Linked DNA regions of Drosophila melanogaster. The protein of the gene in region 1 purifies or fractionates together with the protein of each later gene. This does not show direct contact. Each region holds a gene or a part of one and is shown in the gene's direction. Other genes may lie near its edges.

Evidence for each region. Proteins that work in one complex are often made in the same cells at the same time.
Region 2: the proteins of eEF1beta (region 1) and CG2736 purify together in Drosophila melanogaster (affinity purification with mass spectrometry, with the first as the bait; one large-scale study listed by BioGRID). This does not show direct contact.

What each region holds. Positions count from the first base shown.
Region 1 is NT_033778.4:16,866,593-16,871,745, forward strand, and holds eEF1beta (eukaryotic translation elongation factor 1 beta), read left to right. Parts: upstream 1-1,629; 5' UTR 1,630-1,719; coding exon 1,720-1,799; intron 1,800-1,898; coding exon 1,899-2,487; 3' UTR 2,488-2,688; downstream 2,689-5,153. Other genes in the region: Psi (P-element somatic inhibitor), read right to left, coding at 1-654, 734-805; CG6426 (uncharacterized protein), read left to right, coding at 2,929-3,010, 4,678-4,848, 4,919-5,151. UniProt on the Drosophila melanogaster protein: EF-1-beta and EF-1-delta stimulate the exchange of GDP bound to EF-1-alpha to GTP.
Region 2 is NT_033778.4:24,972,116-24,978,258, reverse strand, and holds CG2736 (uncharacterized protein), read left to right. Parts: upstream 1-2,917; 5' UTR 2,918-3,000; coding exon 3,001-3,612; intron 3,613-3,674; coding exon 3,675-4,077; intron 4,078-4,143; coding exon 4,144-4,394; intron 4,395-4,451; coding exon 4,452-4,709; 3' UTR 4,710-4,828; downstream 4,829-6,143. Other genes in the region: emp (epithelial membrane protein), read left to right, coding at 1-560, 619-740, 799-1,179.

The sequences.
Region 1 (5,153 bases):
TCCGGTCTTCTCCTGCAGCTGTTTAATGGTATCGCCGCCCTTGCCAATGACCAAGCCCACCTTGGCGCCCGGAATCATGATCTCCTGGTAAGGTGGATACCCGCTAGGTCCCGGTGGCGGCATATTGATCGTCAACAGCACCTCCACCTGTCCCCCGCCAGCCCGATTGGCCATGTTCTGAATCATTTCGCGCCCCTTAGTGACTGTATCCCTTTGACCACGCAACATGATAACGCGATCTTGATCCTGCATGACCTGCACTTTTACACCGGACTCGGCCTGGATGTGGGTGATGGTGTCGTTACTGGAGCGACCCATAAAGGCGCCGGCTACCGATTCGGGCAGACGGATCTGCTCCTCACAGCTTGTTCCCGCCGAGGCGGCCAAACGAGCGGCTACCGCAGCAGCCTGGGCGATTGCCTGAGTAATACTGGCACCGCCGGGACCTCCGCCGCCGCCACCACCACCCCCGCTACCGCTGCTCATGTTGGAGCTGTTGTTGGCGTACTCCGGACTGCCCAAGGAGCGTTTGGATTCCGGACCGCTGTCGCCGTCGTCGTTGATACGCTTAAAGCCAGGCCCTCCACCCGAAGACGGTGGCGATGGACCCGCTGTGCCGCCGCCCTGCTGGCTGGGCTGGATCTTGGCTGCGATCTGGTTTGGGGATTGGGGCAAAAGAAGCCGAATCAATGCCCACTTCCGCTTCTTCCTCTTCCAAGTGGTGGGAACTCACCTGCTTGGCACGCTGAATTGCCTGCGCGAGTGCCTGCGATTGATTGATGCCTTGTTGCTGGAAGTCGCTCATAGTTCTGGGTTTATAATAGGTTCAATTCGGTTCTTTATGGTTACCACTTGTTTTTTTTTTGTTCTGTTTGACCGCACGCGTTGAAAATTCAATAGCCGAAAGCGACGATTTTTTCACAAATGCTGAGGAAATACTATAAACGCTTCCTATGGCATTTGTTTAAGTGGCTTTCGAATGTCTACTCTGCCTTATTGTTGAGCCGTTTTTTTCATGCGCTTCTACGTTTTTTTTTTTAATTTTTCTTTCGGCTTTTCAGTGAAAATTATGCGTTTGCAAAAAAATTGTGTAGCATTATAGCTTGATTGGAGGCGTTTTTTCACCCTCATGATTTTCACTGCAACGGTAACACTGCGCATAAGATATTCACGGTTTTAGTCCGCGCTTTTGGTATATTTGTGTTAAATTAAATATTCAATGACTTATATGAATTTATTTGAAAGTAAAGGATCTACTTAAACTTAATTTCTATTAAGCCCAAGCTCCCAATTTGTGTGAATTTGCCCAAGGAAATGCATATTGTTTTCACAAGTTACAAAGTAGAAGCATACAATTTCTATACAATTTTTTTCCTTTTCAGAATATTAAATGTAATTGTTTGGCCTTAAATTTACGTAGCCAATAGCTAGCTTAAGTATAAGGTATTAATTATAATCCTTATGTTTTATTAAAAAAAATACAAGTAAGCGTTAAAAATCTATTTGAATGTATGGTATATTTGAACGATATTTACTCAAACTCCGGGTCACCCTGTGTTGCAACTACTTGAAATACTAGGAAAAAGTCAGTATTTTCATTATATGTTTAAAGACCGTTTCCCGCGAAGGTCACTCTGTTCTTCTTTCGTCGGCAACGTTGCGCAGAGCACGGCTCCAGATTTGTTAAACGCGAATTTACCCCACAAAAACGCATTTAAAATGGCATTCGGTGATGTGACCACCCCGCAGGGACTGAAGGAGTTGAACGCCTTCCTGGCCGACAACAGCTACATCAGCGGGTAAGCACGCGTCATTAAATGTGAGGTTATGTACGACCTCACCACGTCGGCAGATGTATTGATCGAATAATTTTCTACCCATTACTATACTCCCATTAGATATACTCCCAGCAAGGCCGATCTGTCCGTGTTCGATGCTCTGGGCAAGGCCCCCTCTGCCGACAATGTGAACGTGGCCCGCTGGTACCGCCACATCGCCTCCTTTGAGGCCGCTGAGCGTGCCGCTTGGTCGGGTACTCCTCTGCCCCAGTTGGCCGGTGGAAAGCCCACAGTGGCTGCTGCTGCCAAGCCCGCCGCCGACGATGACGACGATGTGGATCTATTCGGATCCGACGACGAGGAGGACGAGGAGGCCGAGCGCATCAAGCAGGAGCGAGTTGCCGCTTACGCCGCCAAGAAGTCTAAGAAACCCGCCCTCATTGCCAAGTCGTCGGTGCTCCTCGATGTCAAGCCCTGGGATGACGAGACCGACATGAAGGAGATGGAGAACAATGTCCGCACCATCGAAATGGACGGTCTGCTGTGGGGCGCCTCCAAACTGGTCCCAGTCGGCTATGGCATCAACAAGTTGCAGATCATGTGCGTCATCGAGGACGACAAGGTGTCCATCGATTTGCTGCAGGAGAAGATCGAGGAGTTCGAGGACTTTGTTCAGTCTGTCGACATTGCTGCCTTCAACAAGATCTAAACATCTGAGATTCTTATATTAACAATAAACTTGAGCAAAGCGAACTAAGCAAATATAGTTGTCTTCATATTTAAATAAAATATTTCACATGAAAGCTGCAATAAGCCAATCATAATTCAGATTGTAAAAACACATCAGTTTTATTGGAATAATGATTGAAATTTTGTAATTTTCACCAAAAAGTATACTTTTATAATCGGTAAAAATCTCTAATCTCTTTAGTTGGCTTGCTGGCTCTCTCAAGTTCTCAGCTTAAGTCTTCCGTTTTGAAGCTTTCGGCGAGCTTTTGTCAACAAAAAAGCGAAGCTCGTAGCACTTTCAGCTCAGTTGATCGGGCAGCTCGATAGAGGTCGGTTGTTTACAGATAGTTGTGATACTGTTCAGTGACTTTTCAAATTGCATTTGCAAACAAATATTTTTCGGACACAAGTACTGCTTATAATGGCTGCCAACAAATTGTGCTGCACTTTGGCTATTGGCGCTCTTTTGTGTCTGGGATTCGCAGCCCTCATTCAAGCTCAGGGTGAGTTAAATACATCGAAAACTATATATTTACATTATATAGGCGAGAACATTTCCGTTCTTGTTATTGTTCGCGAGACGTATTTGTTACGCATTTGCTGAGATTTGCTTTTAACACGAAATATACAAATACCTGATCGTCTGCATTCATTAACATTAATTAGCAATTGTATAGATATTTGAGTCTTTTGTTCTGCGCCAAGACATGTTTCGTTCTTGAGCGGATTTCCCAGATATATTTATCCATCCATCGTGTTTGTCGCCATTTGCATACGACAAGTATCTGGAGGTTGACAAACGTCCATTTAAACTCGGGGATTTCTGATCGGTTTCAGATTCCATAATCGACCATCCATCATCTAAAACACGGGCCGTTGACATCGTTAGTTTTCAATAACGCATCATTGCCATTGAAATTACTTCCGATTAGTATACATCTATTACATTGGCGGAAATTAATTGGTATTAAGTTTGAAAATCATCTATTAATCGTTGGCAGTAATTTGAAGTGAACTCTTTGCTTCTCTGTTTAATAAATTAATTGTCTAAATGGGTAATTAGCAGAAATCAATCAGTCGTTATTTTTGCATTATTCGCGAAAAGGATGTAGTTTTACTGGAGATTTCCCCGAATCCGGAACAGTATTTTGCGGTGCACATCGGTACTCCATTGTTAGACCTCAAAAAATCCCACTTTCGTGACAATTTGCTGCGTGTGGGTTATCTCTGGGTCAGGAAAACCCCGTGAAAAGGTGTTTATATAAACTAAAATATGCACTGATATGATATGTTTTAGAAAGGTGGAAATATATAAAAGGTCTTTAATCTTGACCCAATTTTTATGCCTTTGAAGATTACTTTGCATAGGTCACTGAACTCAGAAACCTCAGAGTTTTGCTCGTGTGTGTGGGTGAGCCAGAAGGCTAGATGACATGCTGTGCTTCACGCTTCTTTCGATCTTTTCGCAAAATTGGCAAAATGCCGATACTCGTTAAAAATACAAAATTTAATTACAAGAACAAGGTCTTGATAACGCCGATTAATTGACTCATCCTCGCCTACGCGCTGCCAGATTTTGTTCTACGGAGATGCTTCAATGTTTCCATTGAAAGTTGCAAAACTAGTTCGATACAAAATGGGATGGGAACGTGAGGCCGATGGATTTCAGGTTCATGGGCGTGCAAGCAACGGAATTGCTTTTCGTTTCTTGGATATATTTTATAATTTTATTGAATTTTTGAAATTTATGAACCCGCTCGCACCGGGGAAACACAGATAACACACTAGGATTAGTTTTATTGTAGTACCTGTTGTTATTTTACACGGAAATCTCTTCGGTTGGAATTTATAATAATGAACGTAAGAAATTTTAAAAGAATTTTTAACAAGTTCAAGATAAGACACCTAAACCAAATTGGTCAACTGGATTTTTTGTTTAATTAGTTTCCTACTACTTTTTTCTGTGAGCTGCTAAAATTTCAAAGTCTTCAACTTGTTATAACTCTTAAAAATTCAAAACATTACCAAATGCTCTGAATAAAGCGATGACATGATCTGGGCAAATCTGCACTGCTAACGCTCTTTTGAGGCTAATCTGGAAAATAAAATAAAAATAAAAATGAACTGAACTGATTTGATTTGATTTGAATGATCTTTAAACCCGAAACAGATAAGCCGGTGACTGATGTGTGCCTGGGATGCATCTGCGAGGCCATCAGTGGATGCAACCAGACACGTTACTGCGGCGGCGGAGTCTGCGGCCTGTTTCGCATCACCTGGGCATATTGGGCCGACGGCGGCAAGCTGACCTTGGGCAACGAGAGTCCCCAGTCGGAGGATGGTGAGTGTCCCATCCATTACCTATGCAATAAACCTTATCATACATCTGATGCACATTAATCTCGCTGCAGCGTATGCCAATTGCGTGAACGATCCCTACTGCGCGGCCAACACGATCCAGAATTACATGACCAAGTTCGGCCAGGACTGCAATGGAGACAACGCCATCGATTGCTACGACTTTGCTGCCATCCACAAGCTGGGCGGCTATGGATGCAAGGGCGAGCTGAGCTACCAGTACCAGACGCAGCTGACCAACTGCCTTAATTCGTTCCAGCAGATCGACGTGCGCTCTAGCATATAAAC
Region 2 (6,143 bases), 8.1 Mb from region 1:
AGCCATGGCCAGTATCATGGACATACTGAAGATCAAGCCATTCGTTCAGGTGTCCGTGGGTCAGTTGCTTTGGGGCTACGAGGATCCTCTGCTCAAGCTAGCGAAGGATGTCGTTCCCAAGGAGCAAAAGCTGCCCTACGAGGAGTTTGGCCTGCTGTATGGCAAGAACGGCACCTCCTCCGACCGAGTAACTGTGAACACAGGTGTCGATGACATTAGGAGATACGGCATCATTGACAACTTCAACGGTCGCACCCATTTACCCCATTGGACCACCGACGCATGCAATACTTTGGCCGGAACCGATGGCTCCATCTTCCCCCCACACATTGACCACGATCGCATCCTGCATGTTTACGACAAAGATCTTTGCCGGCTCCTGCCCTTGGTGTTTGAGAAAGAAGTAATGACTTCAAACGAGGTGCCTGGATACCGGTTCACCCCACCAGAGTGGGTTTTCGCCGATGTGGACAGCCACCCGGACAACATGTGCTTCTGTCCCGCGGGCAAGCCGTCATGCTCCCCCAACGGACTTTTCAACGTGTCGTTGTGTCAATACGGTAAGAATGAATGCGGGATACCATTACCGATCAAATTCAAAAGTAACGCTCTCTGCAGACTCTCCCATCATGCTAAGCTTCCCTCATTTCTACCTGGCCGATGAAAGCCTGAGGACGCAAGTAGAAGGTATTTCGCCACCTATGAAAGAGAAGCATCAGTTTTTCTTCGACGTTCAGCCTGTAAGACCCAATAAAAAGATCTATCTCCCAGACGTATACTTACAACATTTTTTCGCAGAAAATGGGAACTACCTTGAGAGTACGCGCCCGTATCCAGATCAATTTGGCCGTTAGCCAAGTGTTTGACATCAAGCAGGTAGCCAACTTCCCGGACATCATCTTTCCCATCCTTTGGTTCGAGGAGGGCATCGACAACCTTCCCGACGAGGTCACCGACCTGATGCGCTTTGCGGAGCAAGTGCCACCTAAGATCCGCGTGGCGCTAATCGTCGGTCTATGCGCGCTTGGTGTGATCCTACTACTGCTTTCGACCTTCTGCCTGATCCGCAACTCGCACCGGCAAAGCACCCTGCACTTGGAGGGGTCCAACTATCTGGCCACCGCCCAGGTGGACATGAACAAGAAGCAGAACAAGGATAACCAACCCGCCAGATACTAGGCGCTCTAGTCGGTGTCTGGTCGCAGTACGAGTGTCTTCGGGTGACTTCGTAATAGTATAAGCCGTAGCTAGTAACTGGGACCTGCCCACTTCCACTTCCACCCCCAATCCCTATAACGATACCCAATCCGACCTCCCTATGTTAATCCCATTCCCCGCGGAGGAATGTGCTTCTATGTAGTTTAAAAGAAATGGAGCTGGGAAGACTTGTATGTATTTGTATGTGTATCTGTATCTATTGTATTGTATGTAGGTTATCTGTGTAAGTAAGCGTTATAAAAATTTTGAAGTGTAGTCTAACGAAACAGTCGTGATCGCTTAAAGGCTCAAAGCTTCGACTTAGACAATATTTGTTATACCAAAACAGCAATCGATCCTGTTCTTGCTTTCTTAAACCCTCTTGAAATGAAATTGTATGTACAATCAAGTCACAAAACTCGAAACGTTTCTCAAATAAAACAAAATTCCGTCCTCGAATACAAATGTGCTTTATAAGACCAAATGCTGGGCATGTTCCGCATATGAAATTTATATTCTATAAATACATAACTTTATCGATCTAATGTACAATTTATATTCATTAATGTGTACAATAAATCACGATATTATAATTAGAGATTGGCCGTAATCTTCTCGAATCCATATACATGTGTACATATATATGATTGATGTGCCTTTTACAATTCGTTCCTATCCAGAATGATGAATGACAAACTTAATTTCCAATTGCACGGAAAAATAATTCTGTATGGTTGTCGGGGATACATTCATAAAAAGCACGTTACTACGTATTATAAATGGTTATCAGAATGGTATATAACTAAGTTATATTATAATTCACCTCATTGAATTATAATATAGTTTAAAACTACAATTTTAGGTGGCCTAAATTATGAATTTCGTGCACAATCCCAAAAGTATGCAATACCAAGAAATTTCAAACCAGGGAAGTTAATAATATAAAGTTGTTTCAAACGTGTACTGCAACATTTAAACTGCAAAACATATATATATATATATATTTATATATATATATAACCAAATCAACACCATTAAAATGCTAGTATGAGATCTCCTGTAAGTCCCTTTCTTAAATAAATGGTCATGAATGGATTGGCTGCTACATCATTTCGATAGTTTATAACATGTCACATTAAAAGATTAATTTTTACGACCTAAAATTAGGGCACCCATTAACCTTTATATTAAATTTATAGTACTTTCACTTTCAATTTTCACATCGCACTTCGTAGATGGACCAGACCGGATTCTGAAGCATAGTAATGGCAATATTAGCTATAAATACGAGATTCCGAGCTCAGGGAGGATCAGACAGACGTTAATGGCGAGTCATTTGTTTCGTTGCACGTTTCGCTGCCCGCGGGACCGATAAGAGCAGAGTGATCTGTCTGTGCCTGATAAGCTCGAATTTGCCAAAACCCCAGGGCAGAGTCGCCTGTTCAATGGTTGGTCATTAACACCTGCTCCCGATCAAGGTCGATGCTATCCCGGTGAGGTCCATCCGGGAAGACGGGCATCTCTGGAGTCTGTGCAGTAGTGCCTCCTCCCTGGAGGGCAATCTGCGTTATGGCCATTTTCTATGCTCGGGTTAGAGGTCCGCCGTTATCACCGTTATTTCCAGTGTTGGCAGAGTAAGCACCGCTGCTTTGGTGATAACCTTTCTGCTATTCGATGATAAGTGATTGCACGGCCATTGCCGAAAGCGCTTAGAATTTAACTCAAACGGATCGCGTGTTTTCCCTCGATCGGACGCGATTTACTCCCGTCTCTGGTTTCCGTCAAAGCCGCCCTTAGTAAAAAATGAAGTCGGTTCAGTGGGTGAAAATATTGCTTTGCCTGATCCTTGCGTGCGTCAATGTATTCCTCTTCGTGGTGTCTTGGGGAGTGGACTATCGCATCTTGGTAGCTAGGGAGCATATACGCTTCCGCCAGGAGATGCCCACCATGGACAGTTGGATAAACTCGCCATTCGGGAAGCTGAAAAACTATGTGTTCAACGTGACCAACGCCGAGGAGTTTCGCAGCGGTCGTGATAGCAGACTTAAGGTAAAGGAGATCGGCCCCATTGTGTACAGAATCGTGGGGTTCAACGACATCTTAGATCGCAACGAGACCAACGTTAGGTATCGCAAGCACAGATACCGCGTAGTGGAATTCCTCCCGGAGGAAAGCGTAGCACCCGACGTCCTTAACTGGACCATTACCTCCACAAACAACGTTATCCTGGGCGCAGCGACGAAAGTCAAGCATACGGCGCCACTTGCAGCCTTCGGTTTTGATGCAGCGCTCATGATGGAGGATATATTTGTTACAGACAGCGTATACTACTTCCTGTGGGAGTTCACCCGTCCCCTGCTGCAAACGCTCTCCAGGATCTCGAACATAAGACCCAACGTCGCTGTTCTCTACAACGTAAGCCCCTTGACTATCCTGAAGACTTCCTTGTTGGTTCCCCGCTAAGATTTTTTCCGCAGGCTCTCAAAGAGAAGGAAGAGGTTTACACAGTCAACATCGGCCCTAAGCGCGGCATTGAAAACTTTTTCCGCATCGAGACGCTTAACGGCGAGGTGATCATCCGGGAACAACTTCCGCACACCCGTCAGTACGACTCCAACTCTTGCCCCTTTAACGTTTCCGGAGCGCTGGACAACTCTCTCTTTCCTCCCTTTGTCCAGCCGGATACGCCGCTGAGCATAGTGGCTATCGAGTCCTGCCGGGTCCTTCCGCTGACCTACCAGCGTCAGGAGCGTTACAACGGCCTTGATACCTTCCGCTACACTCTGCTTCAGTCACATCAAAAGCCTCCCGGCTGCCTGGACACAAGCTACGGTGTCAAGCTACCCGACGGAATGTTTGACGTATCCCAGTGTGTGATAAGTACGGCTCTACGTCCCTAAAACGACAGGTTTCCTAAGGTAAATCGAACACATTCTTACCCCCAAGATGACGCCCCCTCTGCGTTTTCGATGCCACACTTTTACGGAAGCAGCTACAACTGGAGCCAGCACTACGAAGGATACACACCCAACGCCGAGGATCACGAGCCATACATTTTGCTGGAGCCGGTCACTGGTATTCCGGTTACGGAGAAATACCGCTTCCAGTCCAACATTCCTATTCCGGATCTCAGGAGGTTTAGCTCACGCCTAAGCCGGTTTAGCAACATGATGATTCCCAGTTTTTGGTATGAGTTCGTAAGTACTTTCCCGCTGCAATAGGAGTGCATATGATTACTCTCTAGTCCCACTCAGGAAATGGGACAGCTGCCCGGTTTCGTGACCTCCCTTATGTGGATCAACGTCAACATTGTCCAACACATACAGCCGTATTGCATGGTTCTTTTTCTGGTCCTGGCCTTGTGGAGTGTCCTAAAGGCAATTCGAGTGGCCTGCGGCGACCTCGGCTATGTGGTCCTCTTCCGGAAGTTATGTGGCGATTTGGGCACGGTCACCGCTCTAGAGACCAAGTTCCAGGCCACTAGTGCTTCCCCCGACGTGGCAGTCAAATAGTGATTTACTTTCTGGACTGGACCCGTGTATATATGTATGCAAGATTTAGATTTAGGGTAGAGGTGTCGCTACTGATGAACTATCAGTAGTCCGCCGTTACGCAATATACGATTTAGTGGAAAATTGAATGTGCCTCATTTCACCTTATCTGTCAGCCAGTCAGACGGCCAGGTCCAAGCGCTCCTCTGCCGCCTCCGCCTTCGTCGCCAACCAGGCAATTTGAGGTCGCGGCTCTGTTTGATTCGCCCCGCCTCTTATGCCGTGCGGCGTGACACTGAAAACTTGGGCACGTACTGAAGATTTATTTTGCGTTTTATACAATCTGTGCATTTACTTTTTATTGTTAGTATTTCTTCAGCCTCTGAGCCGCCGTTGTGGATTTTGTGGTTTGTTTACTTTTGTTTGCCTTACTTACTTCTCCTTCTCCTTCCTGAACCTGAACTTTTGCACATGTCGCATGATCTTCCCTGGTTTCAGTGCTGATGCCCTGTCCGACTTCAAGGTAAGATACCCTTGGCCCCTCGGCAACTTGGGACCTGTTGGACCCGTTAAGCCCTCCGCCGCGCATAGCGTCCGGGAGTTTTTTTCCTTTCCGATCGGACTCTCGCGATTTACATAAATCAATACGAACCCCCAGCGCTCGGGGCTAAGGATGCCCCAATTTAAATGTTAATCACCGCGGACAAGCTAAAAGTTGTTTGTTTAATTGGCACGAGAGTTATGTCACAGGTGAAGAGTCAGCGCTGGTGATTTATTGACCTCGAAGACGAGACGGAGCGGAGCTGATCCACCGAGCCAGCCAATCAGTAGAATCGCCTGCGTCAGAGTCGTAAAATGCTCATAATTATACGAGGGTATGAAGTGTATTTTGGCTTTATGGCCAATTATTGTTTGCCCCACCATACTAGTAATTTCGGGCTGCACCGCGCTCCATTAGCGAGATCAGTTCCAAGTGCGGACGACCGCCAATGGTGGTCGCCTTAAAACCCCCAGCAAGCTGTCCGAATTGTCCACCTGGACAGGGGTAAATCCCAATTACTAAGGCAGACCAGTTGGAATCGGTCGAGCTACGCCAAAACAAAACCCAATAACTCTCGCCCCGACCGATGAGCTTTCGAAATCTGGTTCAGTCTAGACTGGTGCGTGCGATTCATGACGCCAAAGATAATTAAAAGGGAAATGGAAATGCATAAAAGTGATTACAACACAGCGACAACAACTCTAGCACTACCAAATGCGGTCGTTATGTCGGGAAAGAGTTGGACACCCAACTCCAAGCTGATCCAAGCCGATTCAGCAGCTGTGAGTCTCGGAGCCACTAAAACCAACTGGCAAAATCAACATGTAAATTTCAATTTTCACGTACGTCAATGTTTTTCCTATGAATTTCGTACGTGAACGAGTAAACAAACGACCAGGGTCTGAGAGATAAAT